Linked DNA regions of Neodiprion lecontei. The protein of the gene in region 1 interacts with the protein of each later gene in a pairwise test. Links are inferred from orthologs where the notes say so. Each region holds a gene or a part of one and is shown in the gene's direction. Other genes may lie near its edges. The genes, in order: ADP-ribosylation factor-like protein 3 and ADP-ribosylation factor-like protein 2-binding protein.

What was found.
Region 2: the proteins of ADP-ribosylation factor-like protein 3 (region 1) and ADP-ribosylation factor-like protein 2-binding protein interact in binary tests that used the Homo sapiens proteins (3 or more experiments, as listed by UniProt). The link is inferred for Neodiprion lecontei from reciprocal best matches to the Homo sapiens genes ARL3 and ARL2BP.

What each region holds. Positions count from the first base shown.
Region 1 is NC_060262.1:4,089,593-4,094,638, forward strand, and holds the start of ADP-ribosylation factor-like protein 3, read left to right. Parts: upstream 1-1,785; 5' UTR 1,786-2,100; intron 2,101-2,176; exon of another isoform or gene 2,177-2,374; coding exon of another isoform or gene 2,375-2,544; intron 2,545-2,660; coding exon of another isoform or gene 2,661-2,835; intron 2,836-3,085; coding exon of another isoform or gene 3,086-3,212; intron 3,213-3,311; coding exon of another isoform or gene 3,312-3,441; intron 3,442-3,785; coding exon of another isoform or gene 3,786-3,979; intron 3,980-4,170; coding exon of another isoform or gene 4,171-4,421; exon of another isoform or gene 4,422-4,425; intron 4,426-4,904; exon of another isoform or gene 4,905-4,979; intron 4,980-5,046. Other genes in the region: uncharacterized protein LOC124293339, read left to right, coding at 47-213, 281-467, 642-821, 929-1,101, 1,184-1,419; RCC1 domain-containing protein 1, read right to left, coding at 2,375-2,544, 2,661-2,835, 3,086-3,212, 3,312-3,441, 3,786-3,979, 4,171-4,421. UniProt on the Homo sapiens protein: Small GTP-binding protein which cycles between an inactive GDP-bound and an active GTP-bound form, and the rate of cycling is regulated by guanine nucleotide exchange factors (GEF) and GTPase-activating proteins (GAP).
Region 2 is NC_060261.1:35,069,865-35,077,201, forward strand, and holds ADP-ribosylation factor-like protein 2-binding protein, read left to right. Parts: upstream 1-2,212; 5' UTR 2,213-2,253; coding exon 2,254-2,278; intron 2,279-2,431; exon of another isoform or gene 2,432-2,589; coding exon of another isoform or gene 2,590-2,850; intron 2,851-3,005; coding exon of another isoform or gene 3,006-3,269; intron 3,270-3,353; coding exon of another isoform or gene 3,354-3,558; intron 3,559-3,746; coding exon of another isoform or gene 3,747-4,660; exon of another isoform or gene 4,661-4,686; intron 4,687-5,008; exon of another isoform or gene 5,009-5,246; intron 5,247-5,406; exon of another isoform or gene 5,407-5,550; coding exon of another isoform or gene 5,551-5,569; intron 5,570-5,711; coding exon 5,712-5,822; intron 5,823-5,953; coding exon 5,954-6,060; intron 6,061-6,171; coding exon 6,172-6,257; intron 6,258-6,334; coding exon 6,335-6,431; intron 6,432-6,547; coding exon 6,548-6,640; 3' UTR 6,641-6,777; downstream 6,778-7,337. Other genes in the region: RNA pseudouridylate synthase domain-containing protein 2, read right to left, coding at 673-972, 2,087-2,212; protein nessun dorma, read right to left, coding at 2,590-2,850, 3,006-3,269, 3,354-3,558, 3,747-4,660; nuclear pore complex protein Nup93, read right to left, coding at 7,111-7,337. UniProt on the Homo sapiens protein: Together with ARL2, plays a role in the nuclear translocation, retention and transcriptional activity of STAT3. May play a role as an effector of ARL2.

The sequences.
Region 1 (5,046 bases):
TTACTTTTTTGTACAACGTGGAAGTGACGTTCGTATTTCCAATTAGAACCCTCGGAAGAAAGCTCGGAATCTATGACTATCAGACTAACATGGCGACCTTTTGGCTCCTCGACGCAATTGCTCTCGAAGTAGTTCGGTGGAGCTCAGAACTCAATTCCTCAGAACTGGGTATATTAGTCAGCTGGATTGCGGGGGAGGCAAAACTCATTCAAGGTGGCTGAAGACAGCATTCGGAAAAATTCAGGGAAATTAAAATCCTGACTATTCATCGAATTTATAGACAAGCAGCTCAGTCGGACGGAATTCTTCCAGGAAATGGCTGGGTTATTTGCACTAGCATCAGACCAGATAATCGAAGGTCACTCAATGATTTACTGGGAAGAACTAACCGCCGTGGAATCGTCAAGACGAAGTGAACAGGAATCAATGAACAATGAACCGAGTTCTGTATTTCAAACGTCAAACAGGTAACCTGCATATTTGTCAGTAAAATTTAAGACAAGTGATTTGTTCGAAACCAATCAGTTCAATCTTCATTTAAAATCCCTTAGACTTTATTTTCGCTGACTGGTTTTCATTTACTGGGATGTGAAGTAACAATGCCAAGTGTTTTCATCGTATTTTATCATGAAATGTTGCAGTTCTGTTGTCCTGAACAATTCAGCAAACCACAAAAACGGGGAAATAGCAATGGTGCAGGCATCAGCCGATGGTGACATTTCGAGGGGTCGAAGAAGCCTGAATTCAAGCCAAACAGCTCGTTTGACGGTTGAAGGCTCGTTGAAAGTTCACGAAGCAATAATAGAGTCAACTTACGCAATGTTAGATCCAAAATATATATACCTCAGCTCGTAATGACCTGCAACTAAATTGTTGATCCAAAGGTTGTACCCACAGTCAAGACGTCAATGGTAATCATGAATTGCAGGTATGCCAATGCGTTTCACTACGCTACGGTGAGTGCAGCTTTTGCGAAGCCAGTGGAACTCCACACATACAAATTCCCATACACTCTACGTTTTCCGAGGCCATTGGAGCCACCGATTCCACCTCCAGTAATTAAGGAAACATCGAAGAAAAACAAGTCCGGGAAAAGTAAAGGTACGATACACGAGCTTGATCATCGGTGATAAAAAAATTGGAATCCTTTCTCGTAAATGAAGATATATTTTTCGTTTTTCAGAGAAAAAGAAACGCAGGTCTGAAACACCCGACGATATTCCACCGCCCCCAGCCCCATCAATGACAGACGAGGAAATAATCGCTGAGAAGAGAAAGTTCATCCTGCCACTCAAGGACTCCATCGAGGCGCCTCGCCTTCTTGAACGGTATGCAGAACGGCCGCCAAGCGATAATGGAAACACCAATATTGGCTCTGGTAAAAAGGGGGTTAAGGGTACAAAGGGAAAGCGTAAATGAAACTACGCGAATGTGAGAATAATGTTTGTCGTACTCGTTGCAGAGTAAATTATAAAAATAAAATATTTAACATCCACGGGGCTGATGGTAAATTTAATTGTTATCATGGTATTCATCAGTGATAAAGACCGAAAACTTCCAAAAACGTGATTCAAATGCGTTCGTTATCGCAGCCAATCGATTTCAACATCATTTTACGAATTTTAATTCTACGCCTGACGCAGCGAGCGCCTGCAACCCGCAATAACCGGTCCCGCAGCACGCTGAATTTCGCGCATGCGTCGTTACGCGTCGTTTTACACCGTGTCGGCTTGAGCGCAGCGCCTCGCGCGTCAGTTCACGGATGGCGATCGTGCGTGTCGGTGCGCGGTCGAGCGCTGTGCAATTTTAATCTTGCTTGAGCTGCACGTGTCAGTGAATTTCTGTGTACATTTCTACCGAAGTTAGATTCGTAGTTTTTCATACGAGGCCAAGATGTTGAATGCAGAAAAGTGCGTCGAACACTGTGTTTCGTTTATTTTTGCCAGTGAAATGACAAAGTTTTATTTAGCTCAGTGGAAAACTCGTGTGCAATCTTTTGAAGTGAATGTCGGAAGAACATTCAATAGAATGCAATAAGTGAAATGGTGAATTGAAACTGTGTTGAATGCAGTATAATGATGCAACGAAGCTTACGAGAAGGTAAGAAAATATCTTATTGTCAAATTTTTATTCAATAATCACGATGCAATATGACTGGATTGCACATTTCAAGCGGTATATTTGACTCTGCACATTTTTCATTCTCGTGAAGCTTGCAATGATAAAGTAGTCTAATGAATTGGTTAAAGCATATTATGGTGGGTTATGCTTACAGTAATTGAATCGTGGATTTTTTTTACAAACTTTTTTCATTTTGTAACCGATAAATGTAAGCTACATTTACAAACATGTTTTAAACTGAATCCTCGGTCTATTAATCTGTGATGATGATGGCACCCCACTCCCGACATTTGAAATTCTTGATCTCCTTCTCATCAATTGCAGTATTTAGTTTCAAAAATGTCCTCGAATTCGTCAACGCGTCTCTGGACATACCCAGCTGCCCATATTTATTCGATCCACATCCCCACATCGAGTTGTCATCTAAATAATTCATTATTTTTATACACGGAAGCGTTAAAGTTCTCATCTCTTTTAATTTCTGCAAATGGTATTAGGTATAGTAACGTCAATTTTTGCTGATAAAATGATTTTCTCACCCATCATGCAAATGGTGAACGCATTGCCGCATTGTGCCTTTTTTACCGACGCGTCAAAAGCGCGGCCATCGGTATCCATAAAATCAACCGGTTTTGGGGTTGCATAAACCTTCGTGCCTTCATCTGGAATTCCCATTTGACCCTCTGTGTTCCAACCCCACGTGTATAAATCACCCTGTGTAAAATAATCGTAGTAAATAAAAAAAGTACTGAATTTTGACGAAAAATCATTAAAAAAAAAAAAACGCTGTTCCGTCCAAAAATATTCTTCCAAACAATCATATGACGCAATCATTACATTCGTGTGGCTCATTTCACCAAATTTATTCGTGTCGAAAACATTTTTCTCATCTTTCAAATTTCACACCGCAATTGTTGTTTTATGAAATTTCGTTCGGCTTGTAAAATGACTTTTGAATAAATACCTGATCTGTGACCACTGCGCTATGCCAACCCGCAGCGGAGATCTGAACCACCTTCAGACCAGCCAGTGCCTCTATTATCGTTGGATTATCACAGTCTTCAAGGTCACCGTGCCCCAATTGACCACGGCTAAAATATAGAAATTCAACGTTTGGTCGGATAAATTTAATTTTTTCAGAAGTATAATTTTACACGATAAATGGTTTAATAGTCATTTCATGTACTAACCTTCCCATTCCCATTGAATAAACCTCTCCGTTCTCAGCCAATATAATCGTGTGATCGAAGCCGCAAGCAACGTCTGTGAATTTCACCCGCTTTGGCATGTCTACCAATATTGGAATATTGTATACTCTACCTGAAAAATGTATACAATTATCGAATGGGAGATCATTTATAGAAGTTTTTGGGAATTTTGTGTTTCCGAGGGGGATGATTGTTATATTAGGAAAAGGTTTTCAATACATTTTGAATTCTCCTATTAGGTTTGAAAAAACAACATAAACACAACAAAAAAATGTTAATACCGATTTTGAATGATAATGACAGTATTAATAACAATAGTGACAACAAGTATACAGTCATTGGCGTATTTCTAAGCATAAATGAAAAATGAGAAGTATTTGTCTAGAACGGTGAATGTAGTCCTCATAATATGCAAACATAAAAAATTAGTAAGTAAATATTTCTCATTTGAATTACCGAAATTTGTCAAGGCTACGGTGCAGCCGCCTTGAAAGATTTTCACCGTATATTCTTGATCCGAATTATCGTCAGCCGCTTGAATGAAATTTGAAACCTGTTTCCACATTTTGTCGAATACTTTGTACTGCCAAATTTCGTGCTTCACGGATAAAATTGTAATCGTTTCCTTGCCAGGAATTGCTTGTACGCATCTGCAATATGAAACTTTTCTCAGTTGAATTGCCAGAAATGAACAAATTCGGTAAAGCAGCTGAATTTTTCGCTTCGCTTTACGTTTGAAAAATTTATAATCTGCAATATTTTTCTTTCCAAACTCGTGCGAGTCGTTATTCTCATTGATCAATAAGTTTTTTTTTTATGCCTTTTATTCTACATTACTGACCCTTCCATTTCTTCCGGTAGTTTGAGTAAGACCGGAATCTTGTCAGTGACTTCAGTCGACTCATTGAGATTTATTTTACCAGAAATGAAAAGTTCCTTATCCCGCCATAAAAGAATGTAATTCCATCCTATTTCCAAATCGTCGATTCCCGTAAAGGGTACGATTGTAAATTTATCAATAACTTGTTTCACGCTCCCCTCTTCGTCGCAAAATAATTCGCTGTTGTTTAAACCAGTGTAATATATCTTCATTGTGCTGAAAAAACAAGAATTAGGCGTATAATGTTTATTATCTTGCTATTCAATTCTCAGATTCCACGGAAAAGGTTAATTAAATTAAACTCTGCATGAACCAAATTTTTATTAACATATAAATTTATGAAAGATTTAGTGGGTTTTAAATATTTAAACCCTAAAAATTCCTCATGGTAACATAATTTTGACTGTCAAAATTTAATATTCCCAATACGGCGGAAAAACAAAAGCAACAAGGTGAGAAATTTTATTTTGGCACGAGTTAAATTTGAATCTAAATTGGCATTCGAATTTTCATGATAGATTAGCAAAAAATGCTATTTTTTTTTTCACGTAAGAATACAAATTTCGACTGTTTACATGTGCTGTATATCTGAAGAATTTATCAATTATTTTAAAATTTCAAGGGTATATTTATACATATTTTAAGAATACACAGTAAGATTTTTGAAGAAAAAAATTAAATATTTTTCGAGTTACACGCGATCTCCGACGGCGCTGAAAAAAAAGGTCCTCCACTGCTGCAGTGATTCCGGCCTTCTCCGTGGATGAAACCTAAAAAAAAAAAAAAAATTCTTGTTAAACTAGAAGATATTGTCCGTACAATGACCTACCAGTTTTT
Region 2 (7,337 bases), on another chromosome or scaffold:
TGATTTGTGCAATAATTTCCTCATCGATTAAAGCCATGAGAATAAAATCTTTCTCCAACCACTGTTTGATATCTCCTTTAGCATAATCCTCATAGCCTGGTATAATATTTCAGTGATCAAAAAACCATCTCCTGCTGAAATTTTAGACGTATTGCATCCCCCTGGCAATTCCCATGATGTAAACCACGCTTCTGAATTTACAAGAAGCTGACACCTGACTGATCCCATGCGTCGGCTACCCAAAAAATCCGATCCTTTATCGTTATACTTTTCAAACGTTGAATTATATGTATTTATGTTACAGTTTTCAGCGTGGATAATCCACGATGTGAATTTCAGTCGATAGTGTTGTTTCAAACTCTCAACTCTTAGATCAACTAACTGAATTAACGATGGTACGTTTGGTGGCAAAAATATTCCTTTAATGTCACTAAAAAGATTTTTTTAAACAATACGGTGGTGAATTGGTTACCCACAATTCAGCTTTCAAGGGGAGTTTTTGCGTAATCAAAAATTCGCTTACAGCAGGGACAAACACATTGTGGAAGCAGGTTTCAAATATCTTCTCCGGCAATTTTCAACAACCACTAAACACTCTCTTACGAATGTCGCGCTCCGTGTCCTCGTGGCTGCGAATGGGTACGTGCGAATATTTGGCATGCATCAACTCACCTCCGCGTCGGACGTGGGTTCCTCGTAATCGGAGAGAGTTTCTTGGAATACGAAAATGCAGTCGGAGCAGTCGAGCGGACGAGCATGGCCGAACTGCGTATGCTTGTCTCTGATGGTCTCGAGGACGGCAGTTTCGACCATCGTTGTTTCCGGGGTGGTTTTGCAACTGGGTACTCGGAGATAAATTCGCACTGCTAAAACGCGTAAAACTACCGCCTCTTCTGTTGCGGTCGTGAGCCAGGCACGTCGTAGTTTCCTCAAAGATTTACCGAGTCGTTCGCAGTTTCCTAGTTCAGATACCTGAAACACCAATAAACGTCTTTTACGGGTAATGAAAAGCCGAATTTCTAACGTCCCCGCCCTCGCTGCCTCCTGCGCTTCGATCTCTGTGCACATGGCAATATTTTTCACGAATTTTACGACACAGGCTTATTGCTATTCCTTCCCGATCATATTATATCCGCAATTTATCTTTATAAATATAAAAAATATAAATTTATATCATGCTACGTACTCATACTATGCAAATAGGTAAACGGACGTAACTTTATCCCTCGTTTTTTATTTTTCTGCGTCATCGTTACGATTTTGCAAAATTGAAGATAACCCGGGATTTATTTGCTCAGTGTCTCAATAATTTTTTAATTTCTTCGTATTCAGAGCAGAGAATAATTTTTTCAAGAATTGTTTTTTATGCGCCAATGTTTTGAATTCGCGACTGATATTGGTGACAAAAGTAGCGACGATATAATTTTTGGCAAAGACATGTGCCGCTTGGAATAATTACATACGTGTACGTAGGGTGATTGATAAATTATCACTCTTGACATAACATTAAAAACAATACTCAAAGCAAAACGTAGCCCGGGAGGTCTCACGTCACACAGATCTCAAACAATTAATTATCTTTTTACCCAAAAGACAGGAAGAAACAGCTGTTAACCCTAATTCATTATATACAATTGTAAAAATACAACGAGCATAAAATATTCTATCGCATCTTTAAATAGTTCACGCATCTGCGATTCGAAACACATTGCACGAATACGTGAACCAAATCTGATTTTTTTCTGCTAAACCGTAACCCTGCTTTGGGAACATGCGGCGTCAGTCAGTATTGCTCATCTAACACCTGAACGTGCATTATCCTATTCGTATTACGTAGAAACAAAAATTAATACGTACGCGATGCGTCTGGTTGTTTCTAATGTTTTTATTTGGGACACAGTGTACAAATCATAGCTTCCGAAGATTTTGAGGTTAGGTAACATGAAGCCGACAATATCTCGATTTATCTTCAAATTATTTCGTTTTTACTAACTCTTTGGTCCACCAGTTCGCGATATGACGCAAATCTCTCATGCGGCGTACATTTCTTTTTTAATTATACAAACAATATCCATCAATGATTTACCAATGTATTCAACGAGCTCAAAAGCCTCATCTGTATTTTTGTTTCACCTCGCACAACCACGTCGAAACGTAAGCACGCGGAATCGTTACTGAATTTGATAAGGTGGCGCCATCTTGCGGCGTTCATTGCAACCAATCTTTACCACGAAAAATTAAGATATTCGTAAGATGAAGATATTTCTTTGGCGAAAAGGTAAGAAATCTATGAGTACTTATTGAAATTTTGTGGTAAAATTATTCGGCATGAATTATGAGTTAAAATTACTTTACAATGTTTAAACCGGTAAACAATTTTTGAAAGCCAAAATTTTCAAACATACCAATTACAAAGAAAACCTCCAATTTCTTACATTAAATATACATTTATTTTAATATTAAAGATAAGTAACAAGGGATATATCTGGTAAACTTTGTAAAAAATTTTTTGTCACAATGTACTCTGGAAATTGCTGTGATAACGGGATATAACGGGATCTAAGACACATTTTCACGAATATAATATATTTAAGACACCATGTTCGTATTACCTTCTTGTTTAGCGAAGAATGCCGCGGACGGTTTAGCTTGAAATAAAATATCACCCTTACCATTGTTCTCGAATTGACAATCTTTGATATTAATTTCGGAGACATTCTGCAGCAGCTCACTACTCCCAATCTTTCCCTCAGGGCCAGTTACATACTTTTGAGTTTCCATGCGTATACTGTGCTCTTTGAAATTCGATAATGAGCAATTATTTACAGCCAAACTTGAATTATCGTGCATCTGAAATAATGATATTATCAATAATGAGCCCACGTGTGAATCAGGTCCTTGAGAATCTCACACTACCAGTACATTTTTCATGTAATTAGAGTGTTAAAAATGATTATGGAATTTTTATAGAACTAACAGCACTTAAATATTAATCATCACCTTACCTGAATACCTTCGACACATTCGTTGAAGTAGCATCCATCTAAAGTAACACTGCCTCCTGAATGAATTACAATTGCAGTTCCAAGCCCTTCAAATGTCGTATTTTGGGCGATTAATTTAGCCCCAGGCAGAACCACAGTGCCTAGTTTGATGACACTTTTATTTGTAACGAAAATCCTGCACCCAATGAGTTGGACCTTCCCTTTGCGAGCTAGCAAACCCATCTGAAGATCGCCTAATTGAATGGAGATGCCTTCTAAATATACCTGGTGATACGAAAGTTAATGAGTATGATGTTATACATATATTAGTAATAGTATAGTTATTTTTTTCGTAAATGTCATTCGTACCTCCCCGCCTGAAAAATCCATCAAGGACGGCCCACATTCGGTCTCCCTTCCACAGATAACTGTATCTCCAAGTCTGCCGAACCCCTTGAATTTGCCTCCTTCCTCCAGGCCTCCAACGCCTCTGATTTGGTGCTCTCCTTCACCGAGAACTACTATATCACCTGCTTCAGAAGCATCCAGTGCTTCTTGCAAGCAATTTGAAGTTCTGAATAATATATAATGATGAAAAAAATGTTAGAAATCGTCAGTTCTCTATTTTTTGTAAAATCAAGGTTCCCAGATCTGATTTATTGAAAAATAGGTAATGTATTTCAACTAAAAATCATTTACTGTTGAATATGCGTAACGATCATTAGTCATAAAATGAGTCATACAGATTATGAAACCTCTTACTTCAAAAACATATCGGGACCAATGACTGTCTGAACATTGCTCAAAGACGAGATCATGTCTTGAACAGATCCTCCGAGCCAAACAAAATATCCTTCAGATCTCGTCCCTCTGCTTTCCCGGTTCTTAACTTCTTTATCCGTCATGTTCGAGCCTTTATTTCTGGTGAGGACTTCCCTCATAACAGGATTTTCCAGAACTTCCATCTCAGTTTTAATCTGCTGTAGTCGAAAATGAAGCTTCATTAACTGGCAGGCTTTTCCGTCATCGAGCACTTGATCCTGATCCTCTTCTTCGTCTGATATATCTTCCTCGAGCCTTGTGATTTTTGCTTGAATATCCCTCCCTTCTCTGGTCAAGCTTCTTATAACGTCGCAAGTTTCTTTGTTGACAACCCCGCGTTTCATGTCAAAAAATAATCTTATTCTTGGCTCCAAATGAAGTGAAACCCAGTCGGTGTCGTCATCGTCATCCGTATCCCACGGCATCCAGAGATAATTAAAAAAGAATCTTAACTGATCGATGCAGTTAGCTGTACCAATCATATCAAGGACTGTATTCTCTTGGTGCTGAGTTGGGTAAAGCTCGTTCAGAGGAACGTCATACTTTTCAGGAAGCTGTATCTCATCTTGAACAGCAACTATTTTAACAAGTGCAGATAATTCTTGGAAATCCACATTCTCAACCTCAACAACAACAATTGTAGGATAATGGATTTCGAAGTCCTGACAGGTCAGCCTTGGGATTTTCCATAGGGCACGCCAACCAACCGGTTCTATCACCAGTTCAACATAGCAGGACCATTCGGAGTGAATCTGAGATGCTGGAATTACCTTTGCACCCGCTGTTAATATTTCCGAGTATTCGACCAGCCGCTCCTGCAGGCTTTTATCAAACGCAAATATTTCCATGGACATCTCTAGCCTCCGTTTCACTTTAATAGCTGGATAAGCAAAACATTATTGTTAACCACTGGTCAAGGACGCATCAGGCCTATAACCCATTTCAAAAAGTAGAGAAACAAAGAAATTGTTGAATAATCATTTGAAAGGAGGATTTAAAATCACTAGAGTTGAACTGAAATGATATTACTTTGAGATAGAGAAAAATTTTCAACTCTAAATTTGATTTCAAAATACCTGATACCAACGGCTTAAAAAACTACTGTTTTACTTTAATTAAACCTTATTATCCATCAAAATCCGCAACATCTTAGATTTCGACTAGAAGGATTAATATTGAAGGAAAAATTATGATAATCTTACCTGAATTTGATTCACTAAAAAGAAAAAGTATTCACGTTTAAATAACTCTTGCGACAGGAATGCAAACAGGCTGCTAAAATTGCTAAAATAACAGCACGCCATTAACCACAAACATGCAACAACCGGTATCCCAAAAACGTTACGCCGTGTCGTCTGCTAAGCAGCGACGTTGGTCGCTAAAAGATTCGGTTAACTCTATTTACGCAGCCACGATATGTGTTTGAAAGTGACTTCGGATTATTACTCAGGCCTCAAGAGCTATTTGGTGTTTTCAAACTCTGTGAACATTAATTGAAAACTTTTTTTTTTTCAAGTTTAAAAATTGTCGTCACACCGTGTCAGGTTGAACGAGCCAATCGCATTCAAGAACCCGGCGTTGCTAGGCGTGAAACAACATGGCGGCTTACATGACAGATTCGATAGTAAACAAATCTTTTGACATTGCAGACGCATGTACTAACCACGCACTAACGTGTAGTTCTTCAATACATACAACGCAAGTTATGGAACTTTAGAAATAATATTCATGAGCCTTGTTTAAAATGAATCCAGAAGTTATAGGTTCGTTAAAAAAATATTTCTTGACCCACTTTCAAACTGTCACCAACAGACTGGCGTGATAAACTGCACTACATTTAATTTAATGATACGACCTGACATTCACTTCCTAACTTACTTATCAGTCCAACATTTTGTGATTCAGATCACATAACACCCATGGATACTGACAGCGAAGAAGTTCACGAGGAATCCAAGGGTGTCAGAGACGCAGGTTTCGATAAAATCATCGGGTACATAGAAGATCTTTTGATGGGTACTGAGAATTTTATGATTCTTCTTTGAATCTGAGAATCTTTGAAGCAAAAATTTAGGAAAGCGATGTTTTATCTCTTTTATAGAGCAGCTAATTTTTATTCCAAAGTATAAACAAAATTCCTGTTTTAGAAAGCGAGTTCCAAGAGCTACAGCAGAAATTTTTGGAGAACTACTGGCACATATTTGGACCCGAGGAAGAGAATAAACTGATTTACATGGAAATCTTTAATCAGTATGTAAGTTTTGCATAACTAGGAAACTTACATGTAGAAAATTAATTTTATTAGTCAGAGTGTATAGCTAGATTAAGGTATCACCAACTTGTTTAATTCTCTTCTCTTTCGCAGAACCAGGAAATAGAAAACTACATCGTTAAGCAGCTCAAGAAGTCTGTTCCTAACTTTTCAATCCACGTTCTGTTAGACCAGCTTAAGTATGAGACAATAATTGCTGTGGGACCCGTAGTTTTGTAAACAGTGCTGTTCGCTAATATGCCTTTTTTTCTTATAGTGAAAGACGTCCTGAACTGGATGGAGAAGTTTTTGAAGTTTTAGCGACGTTAACAGACTTTCTATCATTCAAAGAAATGATTTTAGATTACAAAGCTGTAAGTTTTGGATTACTGCTTCATCGTTGGGGCACTTTCTTTTATCATTGACAATGAGTTGCGTTTGAACTCAAACAGATAATATATCAATATAAAACCAATTTATTATTCGTTAGGTAAAAGAAGGAAAGGTGGAAGACTTTAGCGCCGGGATTTCGATTACATCTATCAAATCAACGAGCTCAGAGCGGGATGAGCCTACTGGTTAACCAATCGCGAGCTCCATCCAAATGATACATTTTATAAAATGCTTACCTAGCACTTTTTTCAAATTTATCCATACTATTACTAATTATCTAGTATTTGTTAGATGTAAGATAGAAAATAAACGCGAATGAAGTTGGAATTCAATGGTATTTTGTTTTATTATTGTGATAAACTAGTACCTGTGGTTTATTTTAAATATTAAAAATTCACGAATAACTGCAGTCTTCATTAATTCAAAAAGAAACGCAAATGGTGTTCATTAGTTTATTTTTTTTAATTTATCGCACTGTCTTGTTTCGTTTGTTTCATAAAGATAGTTTCCACTTACTAGAACGGAACCTGTGCGCAAATTAATCATCGAGAAAATTCAAAAAATTTGTAACCATTAAACGTAGCTTTCAAAATCATAATCTATTTAAATGTTTGAATCTTACATTTTTTCAGCTTTGTACGCAAAAATAAATTCACTCCTTCAATGCATTAGTATTTCCATTTGAACGAGTCTACTGTTTGTTTCGTTCGGCATTCGATAAGGGATCGTGCCCGCAAAGCTGGTCAAGGCTCTGGCTTGTTCTCTGAGATCGCAAAGTTGCTGTTCCCTCGCAACCTCGTCGCCTGGTTCAGTTGAGCGTAGTTTTTGATACAGCTTATACAAAATAGTCATTGTAGCAAGAAGAACGTCAGCTAGAGCACCAGTAA